2 linked regions of the Notamacropus eugenii genome follow. The protein of the gene in region 1 interacts with the protein of each later gene in a biochemical or structural test. Links are inferred from orthologs where the notes say so. Each region holds a gene or a part of one and is shown in the gene's direction. Other genes may lie near its edges.

Region 1 (7,394 bases):
GACAACAAGTAATCAGATATACAGGATAAATAGGCAATAATTAATAAAGGTAAGCCACTAGAATTAAGAGGGATTGAGAAAGGTTTCCTGTAGAAGGTGGGATTTTAGCAGGGACTGGAATAAAGCTAGAGGAGCCAGGAAGCAGAGATGAGGAGAGCATTCCAGACAAAGGGGACAGACAGAGAAAATGCCTGGAGCTAAGAGGTGGAGTATCTTGTTCAAGGAACAGCCCTGGCCAGTGTCACTGAATAGAGGAGTAGGTAGCTGAGAGTATGGTGGAAGAATACTGGAAAGGTTAGAGGAGGCAGGTTATGAATGGTTTGAACCCAAATAGAGAATTTTGTATTTGATCCCGGAGGTGATAGGAAGCCCCTGGTTTAAATCCTGGCTCTCACAATTAGTGGCATCATGGGAGTCTAGCACTTGTACCATACACCTCACAGGGTTGTTGTGAGCAAAACTGAGGAAACCTTAAAGGACTGGCTAGATGTGAACTGTGATGATGATGATAAAGGAAAATTGAAGACACTGTAATTTAACATCAGCTTCAATCCCCATTCACACTCTCGTCATGTATATCCACATGGCTTAATAAAATGAATTTGTATTTGGAAGGCTTTTATTTTGAGTACCAGTGTCATATATTAGGTGAGGAATTTTAGATCGTTTACCCTCAGTGAAGCTCATTTTCTTCATCCATAAAGGGATAAGGACAGGACCTGTCATTTCACTGGTATGAGAAATTCCTTCTACTTTATAAAATGGTGCCTTCACTGCGGCTGGTGGTCTTAGAGAATTCCTTAAAATACTGAGAGGTTAATGATTGGCTCAGGGTCCCACCACCAGTAAGGATCAAAGACAGGACTCCTAGTTCGGAGGCTGGCTCTCTCTATACATCATGCCACACTCTCTTCATCTGTAGCCTTGTATTAATAATGCTTACATTATTTTTTCCTCATAAGATTGTGGAAAGGATGAAATAAGAGAATATTACCCAATAAGTAATTTACTTATTCATTAATGTGCTTCACAAAGAGCAGTGGATTTGAAGTTAAAAGACTTCAGAAGAAGTAAAAAGTTCAAATGCCCACTTTTACCTTTTACTACCTGTGTGACTTTTGGCAAATTACTTAAACTCTCTGGTCTGTGATTTCATTATCTGTAAAATGAAGGACTCAAGATTAGGTAAATTCCAAGGCCCCAGGTCTGAATCTATGCTTCTAAGGGACAGTAAAGTTATACTGAATAAATAGGAACTCTGACATGAAAAATTGCCTTTAGTTCTTTAGACTCCAGACTCTGGAAAAAGTACTGAGTATCAGTACCTTAGTTTTTCCAGCTGCATAATGGGACACTTGGGCTAGAATTAATTTGAAAGAAATTATAATTTCATTCAACACTCTCATTTTAGAGATGACAAAAGTGAGACCCATAAAAGTATAATGCCTTGCCCACCATTACAAGGCAGTAAACAGTATAACTAGGATGCAGATTCATGGCCCCAGGCTCTGGTCCAATCAAATCCCATCCAATAAATACCTCCCTTCTAGGCTAATGTCAAGTACTACCACCTCCAAGAAGCCTTTACTGCTCCTTTTCTCAAATCAATTTGTATTTATTTTGTATTTATTTCAGATCATTTTATCTATGGACATCTTGTTTCCTCCTATAGAATGTAAGGGTCTTCACTCCACTCATTCAAAAATAATTTATTAAACCCCCATCATGTCCCTATATCAATGAAATCACAGGTCTAATTCCTATCTTTATTCGGATGTGTCAGGCACAGGACTAGACAGTGGGAATACAATGGGACAAACAAAGCAGACTTTGCCCTAATTAATTTTATGTTGGGGGAGGGGAGATATATATCAAGTAAATGAAAGTAATTTCCAAGGAGGAGGAGACAGAGAAATAAGAATAGATTTCCCACAGTACATCACAATTTATCTGAGCTTGGAAGCTTGGAGTTGTGCTAAGTAGAAATGATGAGGAAGAGCATTACAGGCATGGGTAACAGCCTGGGCAAACACAGAAGGGGTGGAAATGGAATGTCATTTAGTTAAGAAGTATAGAATAAGACTAGAACAAAGACATTATGAAAGGTGTCCTTGAGGGTAGGGACTGTTTTGGTTTTGTCTTTGTTATCTTTAGCTATCCTTAGTTGCTTAAAATAACAAAAATAATGAAGTCATAGCTGACATTTATATAGCCCTAACTAAGTGCCAGGAGCTCTACTAAGTGCTTTAAAATTATCTTATTTAAACCTCACAACAATCCTGGGAGGGAGGTGCTATTGTTATCTTCATTTTACAGATGAGGAAACTGAGGCAAATAGAGGTTAAACAATTTGCCCAAAGTCACATAGCTAAGTGTCTGAGGCCATCCACTGTTATCACCTGGCAGTGCTCAGCACCAAGGACACAAAGAAAACACAGAAAACAGTTGCTACCCTAAAGGCACCCTTGAGTCTCCTGATCTGACTCCAAATTGAGGGCCCTTGCCACTGAATACAACATTGTTTTGCTTTTTGGTACCCCTAGTTTCCAGAAGCTAGAAAGACTGAGGTAAGCTCTGAATCCCTCTCCAGGCTTTGGTCACTATCCCAATGCTTTCCTTTCTTCATCAGCATTGCCAACTGGCCGTGGAGGCACCAAGGTTCAGCCTTCACAGGTGGGCAGGTTAGGATAGACCTGATCCCAAAAAGCACCAGAGAAAGCCGGTGAACGATCAAAGATGTCACTTTTCCTGAGGTCTCAAGTTTCCTAGCTACTTCAGTGCGCTAAAGGAAACCCCTTCCCTTTATGCCCAGTACCAGAAAAGTCTGTAGCACCACGGTGTGACAGGTAAAGGGTCTCGGGAGAGGAGAGCACTTCGGCCCTCCCTCCCCTTCTCAGACCTCATTGGAGCTTCTGAGACAGAATTGCAAGACAGACCAATCAAAAATATCTCCACCACCTGCAGGAGGGGAGGGGGAGACAGAGAGAGAGACAAACAGAGACAGAGAGACAGACAGAGCGATACAGAGACACAGACACAGGGAGCAGAGAGAGCCACAGAGACAGAGACACATATGGCTAGTAGTAGTATGTCCTTTTGCTGTACTTCAACAAGGCTATCTAAGGCGACCCCCTTGCCCCATCCACCGACCGATCTCACAATCTAACAGTCTGTGAAGCCAGGATTGAATACGACTTTTTTTTTTTTCAAAGATTAGGATGAAATAGAACTCCTAGAGGCCCCGCAGTCTGTGGGGGCAAGGTGGGGGATAACTGGCCCGTTCACACTAGTGAAAACCAGGCACAGCAGTGGGTGATGTGCCAGCAGGCCCTTGGCACGGTCTGTGGCTCTTGACTGAGCCACGTGGGGCTTTGTTGCGCCCAGGCAACAGACCAAACCCCCTCCAACTTGGCTTTCAAAAAGAAACTACAAGGCATAAATTGGGGGTTTAACCAAGAACGCTATACACACAAAGCGACAGAAGGAGCCTAGAAAGGAGTGTGGAGAACAGCTCAAAAGAGAGGTTTGTCGAGTAATTGGGCTGCGGGCCAGGTCTGAGGTGTATGTGTGTGAGCCAATAGGGGGTGTCACTCTAGTTAGAGGCAGAGGACCTATTCCCTTCACCTGGGCATTGGCCGTCCCTGGCAAATAGACTGTGGCCATCCCTCAGTCGCGCCTTTGCTTGCTGTCTCTATGTCTCTCCCAAACTCAGGGCCTCTCTTCCACGAGTTTTATAGTCCTGGCTAGCAGCCCCTGCGTTAGGGCTCCATTTGGGACCTCCGTTTAGTGGGAACACCCCTCAGGGCCTGGGTCTCAGGGTCTCTCTCCTAGGGAGCAACCCCGAAATGCCGGGAAAGAACTCAACCTGCGAAAGTCAGAGAGGTCTGCAGAGAAATGCATGCCCACCCTCAAGGCTCAGGTGGCCAGAAGTTAGCAAGCTGGTCGAGGAGGGAGGGGGCCACCAGGAAACCAGAAAGCTTAAAAAAATATACCTCCGCCCTCCCCAAACACAACGCCTAGCGCTGGGTGCCTCTGAGAGCCTCGGTCTCCCAAACCTGTGTGCAATCCCTTCACCCCCTCTCCTTTTTTAGAGACACTGCCTGAGGTGGTGACAATGAGAGATAACGACTCCTCTCCCTTCTGGAGCTTCCTGGGGCTGGCACTGGCCTGGGATCGATCAGTCCTCTTAGTCTCGGAACCCTGTACTAACCCTGCGACCCTTCCCCTCAGGAGCAGACAACGCTTTAGAGTCAGGCAGAGCAGGTGCTGGGGTGGGGGTGGGGGCGGGAAAGGGGGGGTGGAGGAGGTTTTGAGCAGCCTTGAAAGGGGAGGGACTAAAATAAAAAAATGCTAAGGAGGAGAGCGAGAGCCAGCCACTCCAGCAGAAAGCGCTGCGAGCCCGAGGGGAGCTGAGCTCGGAGTGAGTCAGGACTGCCCCAGAGCACCGGCACTGCAGCGCACGGGCAGAGGCGCACACGGCGAGGACCTGGGGCAGGGTGGATGGCTGTGTTCGCCTGGGACAGTGTCTACGGACGCGGGTCCAGCGAGATCTCCGACCCTCTGGGCAACCCCTAGGCTCCGGCATCCCGAGGCACGGCCCCAAGGTGAGTGTCCCGGGCGGCGCTTTGCCGCGAGCGCGGCTTGGGAGCCGGACTGGGCTGGGGGTACGCGGCTCTTGCCAGGCTCAGATGGCTCCACGGTGTGCGCCTTAGCTGCGCTCCACACCGCGAACCCCGCAGGCCCTGGGAAGGCTTCTCTGCGGGCACGCGGCGCCTGGGGAGAGAAACCTGCAAGTGAAGGAACCGATTTGTGAGGGGTGGGGGCGGGGGCCACTGGCTTTGATCGCGCGGAAGGCTTGGGAGAGGCAGGTACGAGTGTTTTGCTAGCGAGTGCATGAGAATGGGCAGTGTCCGTAAAGTAACCCTGCTGCGCTAAAACAGAGAGGTCCTAGGGGCTCCCCAGGTGAGGCGAAAAGCTCAGCTCAAAGCCCAGAAATCGGCTTAACGCTCACTTTCTGGTCGCCCTCTAGCTTTTTCCACAGATGCAGTTAGGACCCTGAGGGATCAGGTCTCTCGCCTCCTGAGCTCATGGACTCTGGTGGCGCCCAAGGTCAAAGGCTCAGTTCTGGGGATGGGAACGCTTGATGTGCGGTCGAGAAACAGAGTAGGGCTGGGCTTCGCCAGGCTTTTCATTTTAAAAAACGCCACGGGCTCCTTCAGGTGCCTGGAAGGGATAGCCGAGGCTTCAGCTCCTCCTTCTTGGGACATCCTTCCCTGCCGGGTGTTGCCAGGTGCAGGGGAGTCTTGGCTGAGGTGGCACCACCTTCTTCAGCTAAAGCCAGGAGGACAGAAAGAGGGAAAGAGAGAAGACTTCAGGGTCAGGCAACAACAGCCGAGAGTAGTTTAAGTTCGGGCCGACTGAGGCTGTTCTTTTCCTTAAGATCATAACTCCCAGATTATGATGAAAAGAGCTCGCTGCTCTAACTTTCTGTGCTCCTAAAAAGTGAGATAAAAAAAAAAAAGATCTTGCTTGCCGGGCTGGTTTTTCCAAGTCGTTCCAGATTGGAAGTTGTAACAGTTTGGAGGATAATTTATGGGTGTTTCAGGAATTAAAGTCTATTACAGCAAAGCCTTTTGGGTGCTTGGGGTATTAAGAGAAACGAAGTACACGTCCCAGCTGGAAACAAAAGAAGTCAAACCTTCACTGATCCTATTCTCAATATGTAATCTGAAGTTAAGGAAATGACTATCAGTTGCTCTGCGTATGTCCTCAGACCCGCACTCACAGACTAGTGTATCATGATCCCTACTTAGGACTCCCAGTTATGGATGAGGGAGCTAGATTGCACTGAGTGATAACCAAAAGCCAGAAGCAACTTCTCCAGAGACTCTAAACCAAGACTATTCAGAGATCGGCGACATCCCCCCCACCTGCCCCGGGGGTAGGAATTTCTGGTCGCGTTCAATTCTGTAACCATTTATTGAATGCCTACCATGTGCCAGAGACTGGACAACGCCCTGATCTTATAATCTTTTCCTTAATTCTGTCTCTCTCCCTTTGTCAGGTGAACTCTTAGACTCCCAAATGAGCAGTAAATTCAGCCAACCTGATGGGCCTCTTTTGTTCCCATGGCCAAGTATCAATATAGGAAGTTCACATTTCATTTCCTAGCCAGGGGCTATTGATGAAGACTGTAGTTGTCTGTCAGCAGAAAAAATAAAAATAAAATAAAACACCCAATAACAAAAAGACAGGGAGGGACCAGGCATGGAGGAAAGGTGTATTTCTTTTTCTGGACTTTTTTTTGGAGTCCCAAAACTCTTGTAAAATTCAGAGGCCTACTTTGAAGTGAGGGCTGATTATCAGCCTTTTTCCTTTCAAATCACCGAATTCCCACTGATATTCCCTACATTTTTATGCTGATGAATTCCTGATAAAATAACAGTGGAGAGCAGACTTGAAATGGATGAGATGTCTCTAACGGGTGATCTGAAGCCTGAAGACTGTGTTAAGTGGGGTTGGGAGCTGGGAAGGTGATAGGGAAACCTTGCTGACAAGATTTCCTCCCCTTTTTTCTTTTGGGGGATGGAGTTAGTTCAATTTAATTCTATGAACAGTTGTGAAGAAGGTTGATGCAATGAAAATGATCCCTCACACTTATTACCTGTGTAACCTTGGGCAAATCATTTAACATCCACAATCCTCAGCTTTCTCATCTAAAATGCAGGGGCAGGACAACATGACCTCTGAGATCCCTTCCAACTCCAGACATCTTATCTGACTGATTCTCATGACTGACACTCTCTCCTTATTTCCACCACCTGGATTCCCTTCCACTTTCTAAAAGAATCATTTCCTAATCCTCCTCAATGCTTCACTCTGTGGATTATCTCCCATTTATCCTGTATGTCTCTTGCTGGTGCATAGTTGGTTTCATGTTTTGAGAACAGTGAGGGTCTTTTTTATTTTTCTGAGCACAATGCCTGGTATACAATAGGTGCTTAATAAATGCTTATTGACTGACTAATCCTATAAACCCTTGTGCAAGGCCCTGAGCACAGAGGAATAATACTATCTCCTTCTCTGCCCAGTCCCTTCAAAACAAAGGAACCATACCTCCTCCTTCCAACTTACTTTAACCTGGGGCATCTCTAGTAACCCTTCCTTCCTCATCACTTCTGGGAAAATGAAACTCCTTTCCCTAGTCTTTTTATTCCACCCCGAATATTCCCAGTGAGCACTGTGGGAGCAGGGGCAGGTTCCAGACTCAGATTGATGCGGTTGTTTCCCACGCAATCCCTTCAGTACTGGACTGAGATGGAATTGGGAGTCAGGGCAAGAGGAAGGCCCCTGGCTTCCAGGAGGACAGGAGAAGAGCCTGAGGAAAGTTTCTC
Region 2 (7,289 bases), about 57 Mb from region 1:
AGTGGTTGGAAGGAAAGAACTGATCTGTAATGGGATTGGAAGAGTCTGGGAAGGCTGCCTGGAGAAGGAAAGAGAAGAATCTGAGCTAGGTCTAGAAATGATGAAACTATGAAAATATTAAAACCAGATCTCCCTTTTCTATTATAAATAACATGCTACCTCTGGGTAAATCTATCTGTATCATTGAATATTTCCCTATACCTTAATTTCTACTTTGATGCTTTAGATGTGACTCTGGTCTCACAAAGCTGTGTTAGTGGACCATAAACTGATGGCAACTTTAAAAGGCTGGTATAAAACCAATGACAGAATGTGCCTGCTATCAATGGACCTAAGGAAATATGGAGACTCTCATCACCAAAAGCTGGTTTCCATGGAATGTAATTTTTTTGTATGAGCCAGTCTTGAAATCATTTCCTAAGGTGTGGATAAGTTGTGATCTGTATCAGTGGAGGAGGATCCCACACTCATGAAATCATAGATCCTTAAAGTATTGAACTATGCTACTTGAACAAAAATTTAGGGATCCTACCTCTGCTGTTAGACCGGGAGCTCCCGAAATAAATAGGTAACAAAATATATAAAGGGTCAATACAAATGAATTTGGTTTAGATCTGATCACAAGACTGGTGGTGCTAAAATCTAGCTTGTCATCTTGACTCTGTCACTAGTTATATGACTTTGTATTCCTGGGCCTCAGTTTCCTCATTCATAAAATTAGGACCTTGGATTAGATGATGCCTAAGATCCCTTTCCAGTTCTCAAAGTCTATGAGTAATTTCCACTACAAGAGAATTCCACCAGTATGGATTATAGTCCCTTGATAATTTATAGTATTAGTTGCCCAAGATTCTTAGAGCTTAAGTGATTTGCCCACAGTCACACAGATAATAATTCTCAAAGGCAGAATTTGAACTCTCATCTTCTTTATTCTTAGTCCAGCACTCTATTTACTGTGGCAAGCTGTCTTTCCCATATAATACTCCTAATAATAATATCTATAAAAATTATGTTACTGCTTAAATGAGCACTGTTATCCAAACTATTAATAATAATAAAATAATAATAAAAATTACCTCCTATTGTTATTAACAATAAACAATCTTTCAGTAGAACACATTAAGGTTATATTCAATTACACATGACTCTCTCCATGACTCCACTGGAAATACCTTTGAGGAATGGAGGTTTGCTAGACTGCCTCTAACTACTTGTGTGACCTTAGGTCCTTGAATTCCCTTTTCTTATCATGGGAAAACTTCCCCAGGCAGAATGGGCCAAGGAGAACAATTTGTTCCAACGACCATGAAGAGGACTGAAGGAGGCACTGCGGAGCACTTAAGAGCTTGGTCAGACATTGAAGACTCCAAGGTTATCCATTGCATCTTGGGGTCAGAAACATCTTGACTTTTGTCTTGCAACTCAACTTTGGTGACTGGAAAAGAGTGAGGATGATGATTTTGTGCAACTCTGCTTCACTTAAATCCAATTCACTTGCAAGTCAAGACATCACCCCATGATGTCCTTTTTGAAAACAAAGAATGGGACAACAACATCACAGGCCCTCATCTGTAAAATTAAGATGTTGGACCAGATGACCTCCAAGGTCCCTTCAAGCTTTAAATCCATGATTCTGTGCTCTTATGAACAGCAGTAATATGTGTTATGATGTCATATTATATTGTGTTATTAATTAGTATGCATTATTTCTTTCCATGAAGTCTGCACTCAACCTACACTCACCTACTTGCTATTTCACACAGAGGACACTTCATCTCCCAGCTCCATGCCTTTGCATCTGCTGTACCCCATTTCTGGAATGTAATTCTTCCTCACCTCCACCTCTTGGAATCCCTGGTCACCTTCAAGATTTAGCTCAAACGCCACTTTCTACATGAAACCTTTCCTAACTCTGCCCCTAGTTGCTATGACCCTCTCTCTCCATATCATCTTGTATTCATTTTGTTTCTTTTCTATAAATACTTATATATGTTCATGATCTCTTCCCCTTTAGCAGGTAAGCTCCTTGAAAGCAGGAATTCTTTCACTCTTGTTTTTGTATCCCCAGTGCTGAATAAACTTCCTGACACTCAGTAGGCATTTAATAAATACTTGTTGATTGTGAAAATCAGTATTAAAATTAATGTTATACTGTCAATATGGTTGATGACACTGTTGATATTAGCTATTGGGTCAGTATGAATGTCGTACTCTCACACTACTGCTAGATGGCATAGTGGATAGAGTGTGGGCCCTGGAGTCAGAGTTCAAATCCAACATCAGACACTTACTAGTTGTGTGACCTTGGGCAAGTCACTTAACCCTGTTTGCCTCAGTTTCCTTATCTTAAAATGAACTGGAGAAGGAAAAGGCAAGCCATTCCAGTATTCCCAAATGGTGTTACAAAGTCAGACATGACTAAACAACAACATTCCCTATCCTTCATAACTTCCCATATACTTCATCCACTGACAGGAACAACATACCCATAAGAGTAACACAAGGGGGAACAGCTGCATCTGTTAGAAATAAGAAAGAAGGAGTAGAATTTTCCTTCCCTTTTTTAAACCCATGAAGGGCTTCCTTAAGAAGGTTTATCTATTCTATCCTCCAACCTTTGGCTCAGAGAATCAAGCCCATTAATAAGTGGAATATTTTTGGGGGGGAACAACGATAAACAGAAAAAGTTTAATCCTCCCATCAATAAATTTGGTGCTTGGAAAAGCCAGTGAAACTAATTCTTGTTTCCACTGATCTTTCCCCAGGGATTCTGAGTTCCTTTCATCATGTGACGATGTGCTTGGAATCAGAAAAATGGATTCAAACTCTGCTTCTGACACAAGTTGTGTGACCATAGGCAGGTTGCTTAACCTAAGTCTCAGTTTTACTCATTCAAAAAGTGGGAATAATTATACCCATAGTACCTACCTCAAGCAAAGGGTGGGTAAGATTGCTAATGTCATTTTGTGTAGGCAGAAATTGAAATGAAAGCATGTGAGGGGGATAAGAAGAGGGGGGGTAATTCTCCCCTTTAAGAAGGCAAGACTAGTCCCACAAGTAATAAACTAGCACAGTAACAAGTGTCAAAAGCACAAAGGAACCAAGACTTCTTGTCCTTTGAAACCCCAACTGAAAAGGGAATGTGAGTCCTATTAGCTGTGCAACAACTGGCAAGTTGTTTTGCCTCTCTGGATCTCAGCTTCCTCCTCTGTAAAATGGTCAGACTAGGTCCCATGCTGCTCTTAGATTCTAGCTTCTGTGAGTCACTGGTGAAGAGCTGGTCCTCATGTTGTCCTACTGGTTCCCTAGCTTGGCCCCACCTTTATCACAAGGGCTTAAAAAGGCTGGAAAGGGCAAGAGGAGAGGAGCCTCAATACCTGTTAATGTCCTAGGGCCAGATTGGTGTAGCTCAGGGGTGTAAATGCCTACTTGGTGATTCCTGGTTCTCACCTGTGTGTCACTGAATGTGTATAGTTTGAGGGAGGGACAAAGGCAATGTCTGATCGCTAGACTTCTGGAACCGACCCAGCTGTGAGCAAAGACAGAATTCAGTCAATCATTGGGATCCACTCCATCCCTATATCCATTCTTCTCCCTCAGAATTCAGATGACCGACTACATCCTGGAAGGGAGACTGAGGAAGGGAGGGCAAGAGATTTCCACTTGCCTTCTTCCAGAAAGGCCTTTGCATAGAGAGAGAACGGAGCTTTTGCCTGGGCCAGGAGGTAGATAAGTGACTGCCCAGGAGGTGGGGAGGAAGAGACCTCGAGTGGCGGGAGAAGGGGGGACGACTCTAATCATAGGTGGGGAGAGAGCAACAACAACAAAAATAAACAGAAAAGAGGTGAAAAACATCAGGTTGAGGACAGGCAGAGAGGAAAGGGCAGGGAGGGACTGTAGAGAAGTAGATACTGAGATACGAAACAAGGGGAGAGAATAGAGGATTGGCAGAGCGACAAGGAGACAGAACTGAAGCCAAGGGATGCAGGGTAGGAGAGAGATAGAGAGGCCCTGAAAACACAGCACAGGTTGGTGACGGGGAAAGAGGAAGCTCGGGACAGGGGATGGGTTGTAAAGGGCTGGGGTGGGAGTGGGAGGTGGGGAGAGTGATGGAGGAGCAGCTCGGCTTTATGGCCGGGTCTCCCCTGCACCCTCCCCTCCCCACTCCAGGCAGCGGGACTGAGGGGTGGCGGGGCGGGGCAGTCACTGTTCCGGACGGGTGGGCGGTATGGGCGGGGAGGGGGCGGGGCCGTAGCCCTGGCTCTCCCGAGTACCTCCTGCCAGCAGTCAGAGGGAGCGGAGCCTCGGCTGGCTCCTGGCGAGTGCAGAAGCAGGACCAGAAGGACTGAGCTAAGGAAGCTGGGTGGGGGAGGGAGGGAGGTGCCACCAGGCACCCAAGGGTGGTCTTGTCCACCTACCCAGCCATGGAAGGGTCGTTCCGCTTGCTGCTGCTGTTGCTCTTGGGGGTGAGTTCAAATGGGAGGTGTCCTCTCTTCGGACGCACTGGGGCTGGAAGGGCGAGCAGAGCCCGCGGATACTAGAGGGGAGGACGCTAGGAGGGAGAACTTGAATTCCAGGGCCACTGTGCGCTGGAATAGTGTGGGAGAGACTCGGACCGACGCCTCGGTCTTTCCGAGGAACCTTGGAAGAACATTGATGCCTGAAGGGACTGGGATGCCTGTCTCTTAGAGAAGCGCGTGTTTGGAGGAAGGGGGCAACTCAGATGCCTGGGTTCTCCGGAAGCGGAGGGAGGTGTTGAGGTTCAGCTAGTCAAGAAGGGGACTCGGGCGCTTTGGTCCCTGGAGTGGGGTCATGAAGGGAGAGAGATAGGAGAGGTGCTCCGACTCTTCGGTCCCTGGAAGGAGTAGGTTGGCTAAGGTAGAGGGTATTCCGACGCCTGGATCACCTAGAGGAGCTTCGGTTGGACCAACGAAGCAAGGGAGCGGTGGAGAAGGGGATGGGGTGGGTGGGGTAACTGAGCATCGGGACAGACGGAATGGGGGAGCAGGCTCCAGCGATAAGCTTCAGTAGAGGCAGTGGGGAACGGGAATTGGGGGCTGAGGGCAGGCAGAAGGTATCGAGGGTGGGACATCCGACAATAGGGACAGGGCAGGACAATGAGGGGAGGGGAGGGGGATGCGCTAATGAACGAAACCGGATGCCTACAGAGAAGGGGCGTTGGAGGCGCAGATAAGCAAGAAGGGGGTTCATGAAAAGAGTGATGGAGCAGGGGAGGGCAAGGAGGAAAGGAAAGCCGAAAAGTGGGGGCAGAGAACAGAGAAGGGGGCTGAAGGAGCAATGAAATGGGTAGGACCAGAAGGCTGAAGGTGAGATCAGAAACTAAGAGCATGGGAGCTAGTCAGGACAATTTTCCTCTATGACATACCTAGCTCGGAGATTGCAGATGGAGAGGGGATTGGGGCCCGAGTTCTCCGTTCTCTTAGGGCATCACCGGTCACTCTTCTCGAAATCCTTCCAACTCTCTTCTCCCACTCCCATTTGGCGTGAGCTTCCCAGAGCCCTTCCTGGTGGTGGGCTAGGGGGTAACGTCCACAAGCTGGTTTTAAGCAGAAAGAGAGGCAAAGAAAGGGGATTCCTTGACCTGTTGTCCGGGTGCCCAGTAAAGGACAGAGAAACTGAATTGTCCCACGCACCAAATAAGGTGGGTTCCCTGGGGGGATACAAGCTAAATCTGGCTCCCGGGGTTTAATGAATAAAGTGCCGAACCCGGGAGGTCGGTGGCCAAGAGAGGGCGCTCAGGGGAGAGTGAAAATGGGGCAACCCCAGCCGCTGCAGTCCATTCTCGTTTCATCCCATCCCATTCATTCCCTAAAAAATTAGTCCTGCTCTGCTCGGTGTAGCCAGTCTACAAATCCTACAACTTTGTCCCGCACACTTCTGTTCCACGCTATCTGAACTAGCTCCGCCTTCCCCTAACGGGCTCCGCTGCCTGCTGCGGGAAAGATTTAACAGTCTCAGGAGTCTACTCTGCTCCTAATCTTGGGAGTTGGTGGGGGCGGAGGGAAAGCTTGGCATTCTACCGGGCAAAGCCCTGGTCCCTGGGGGATAGAAAAGAAGCCGGGAGAGAAACAGAAGAGAGAGAAGACCAACTGGGCTGACGACTGGATTTCTGGGTCCGAGGCGTCCTCTCTAAGAGTAGAGAAATCGGACCTAGGGATGTCTGGCTTCTGAAAAGCTAGCCAGGGACTGGGGATGGGGTGGGATGTCAGGATCTTCTGGATCCCTCTCTTGCTGAGTCATGGGGAGAGCTGTCTGAGGTGAAGGTCAGCGTGTCCCCCACAAAGGGGCCCCAGTCCAGCAATTATTGGAACTATGGAGCGGGACAGTCAGATTAGTCTGTATTCCTAGGTGCCCACTCTGAATCAGGCTCTGATAGCTCTAAATCAGGCACAGGGGCTGAGAGAAAGGCAGGTGAGGATTTCTTCTCAGACTCTACAAGAAAGCACCTTCAATTGGCCTGGTCCCCGAAACTACACTCGCAGGGTTACCTTCTTGCAAAATTGACCCTATGGGGTGGGTGTGGCCAAATCACGAAAGGCTTTGAATGCCTGAGACCACACTTTCCCTGGGGCCTCCCAAAGCACTTTGTTTTGTATGGCTCAGATGGCATTGATCTTGAGGCTGAAGTGCTGGAAGGGGGGAGCGGGAGTGAATCGTCTGAGGGAGGTGGTGGTAAGTGTCATCGGGGTGACTGAGGAATACCCCCCCCCCCCCCCCCCCCCCCGAGAATGGCCAGATCTGACCTAGGTGTGGGGCTGAGGTAGGATCAGGGCTGAACTACCACCAGGCACTCCCAATGACCACTCCTTCTTCGGCTATCTAGCTGTAGGCTTTAACCAGAAATGGAGTTCTTAAGCTTTTTGGGTGTGTTGTGAATGCTTTTCACAATCTGGTGAAGCCCATGGACCCCTTCTTAGAATCACCTTCTTAAAAAACTGAAGGAAATGCAAAATTTTTATTTGGAGGTTTTTTTTTCTCATTCAGGTCATGGTTTCCCTCCCCCAAATCTATCCCTAGGGGGTCCATCGGCTTCAGGTTAAGAACCTCTAGTTTAGAAGATTAACTTATCTTGTGAACAGAGGTTGAGAAAAATTGGGCCTATTTATCTCTCCTCTCTCTGGGGTTTATCTGGGCGTCTCTGGATGACAGATGTCTGGGGGAACTGGGTGGGCAGAGAAGAGTCCAGGAGAAGAATTTTTTGCTATAAAAGACCAATTATTTCCCAGATTTCTGAGACTAGAGGGGAGATATGAATCAGAAGCTAAAGG

What was found.
Region 2: the proteins of NGF (region 1) and NGFR form a complex in vitro, tested with the Homo sapiens proteins (2 studies listed by BioGRID and IntAct, with this or other methods). The link is inferred for Notamacropus eugenii from reciprocal best matches to the Homo sapiens genes NGF and NGFR.

The regions. Positions count from the first base shown.
Region 1 is NC_092873.1:294,751,331-294,758,724, reverse strand, and holds the start of NGF (beta-nerve growth factor), read left to right. Parts: upstream 1-4,371; 5' UTR 4,372-4,604; intron 4,605-7,394. UniProt on the Homo sapiens protein: Nerve growth factor is important for the development and maintenance of the sympathetic and sensory nervous systems.
Region 2 is NC_092873.1:351,342,422-351,349,710, reverse strand, and holds the start of NGFR (tumor necrosis factor receptor superfamily member 16), read left to right. Parts: upstream 1-4,289; 5' UTR 4,290-4,424; coding exon 4,425-4,466; intron 4,467-7,289. UniProt on the Homo sapiens protein: Low affinity receptor which can bind to NGF, BDNF, NTF3, and NTF4. Forms a heterodimeric receptor with SORCS2 that binds the precursor forms of NGF, BDNF and NTF3 with high affinity, and has much lower affinity for mature NGF and BDNF.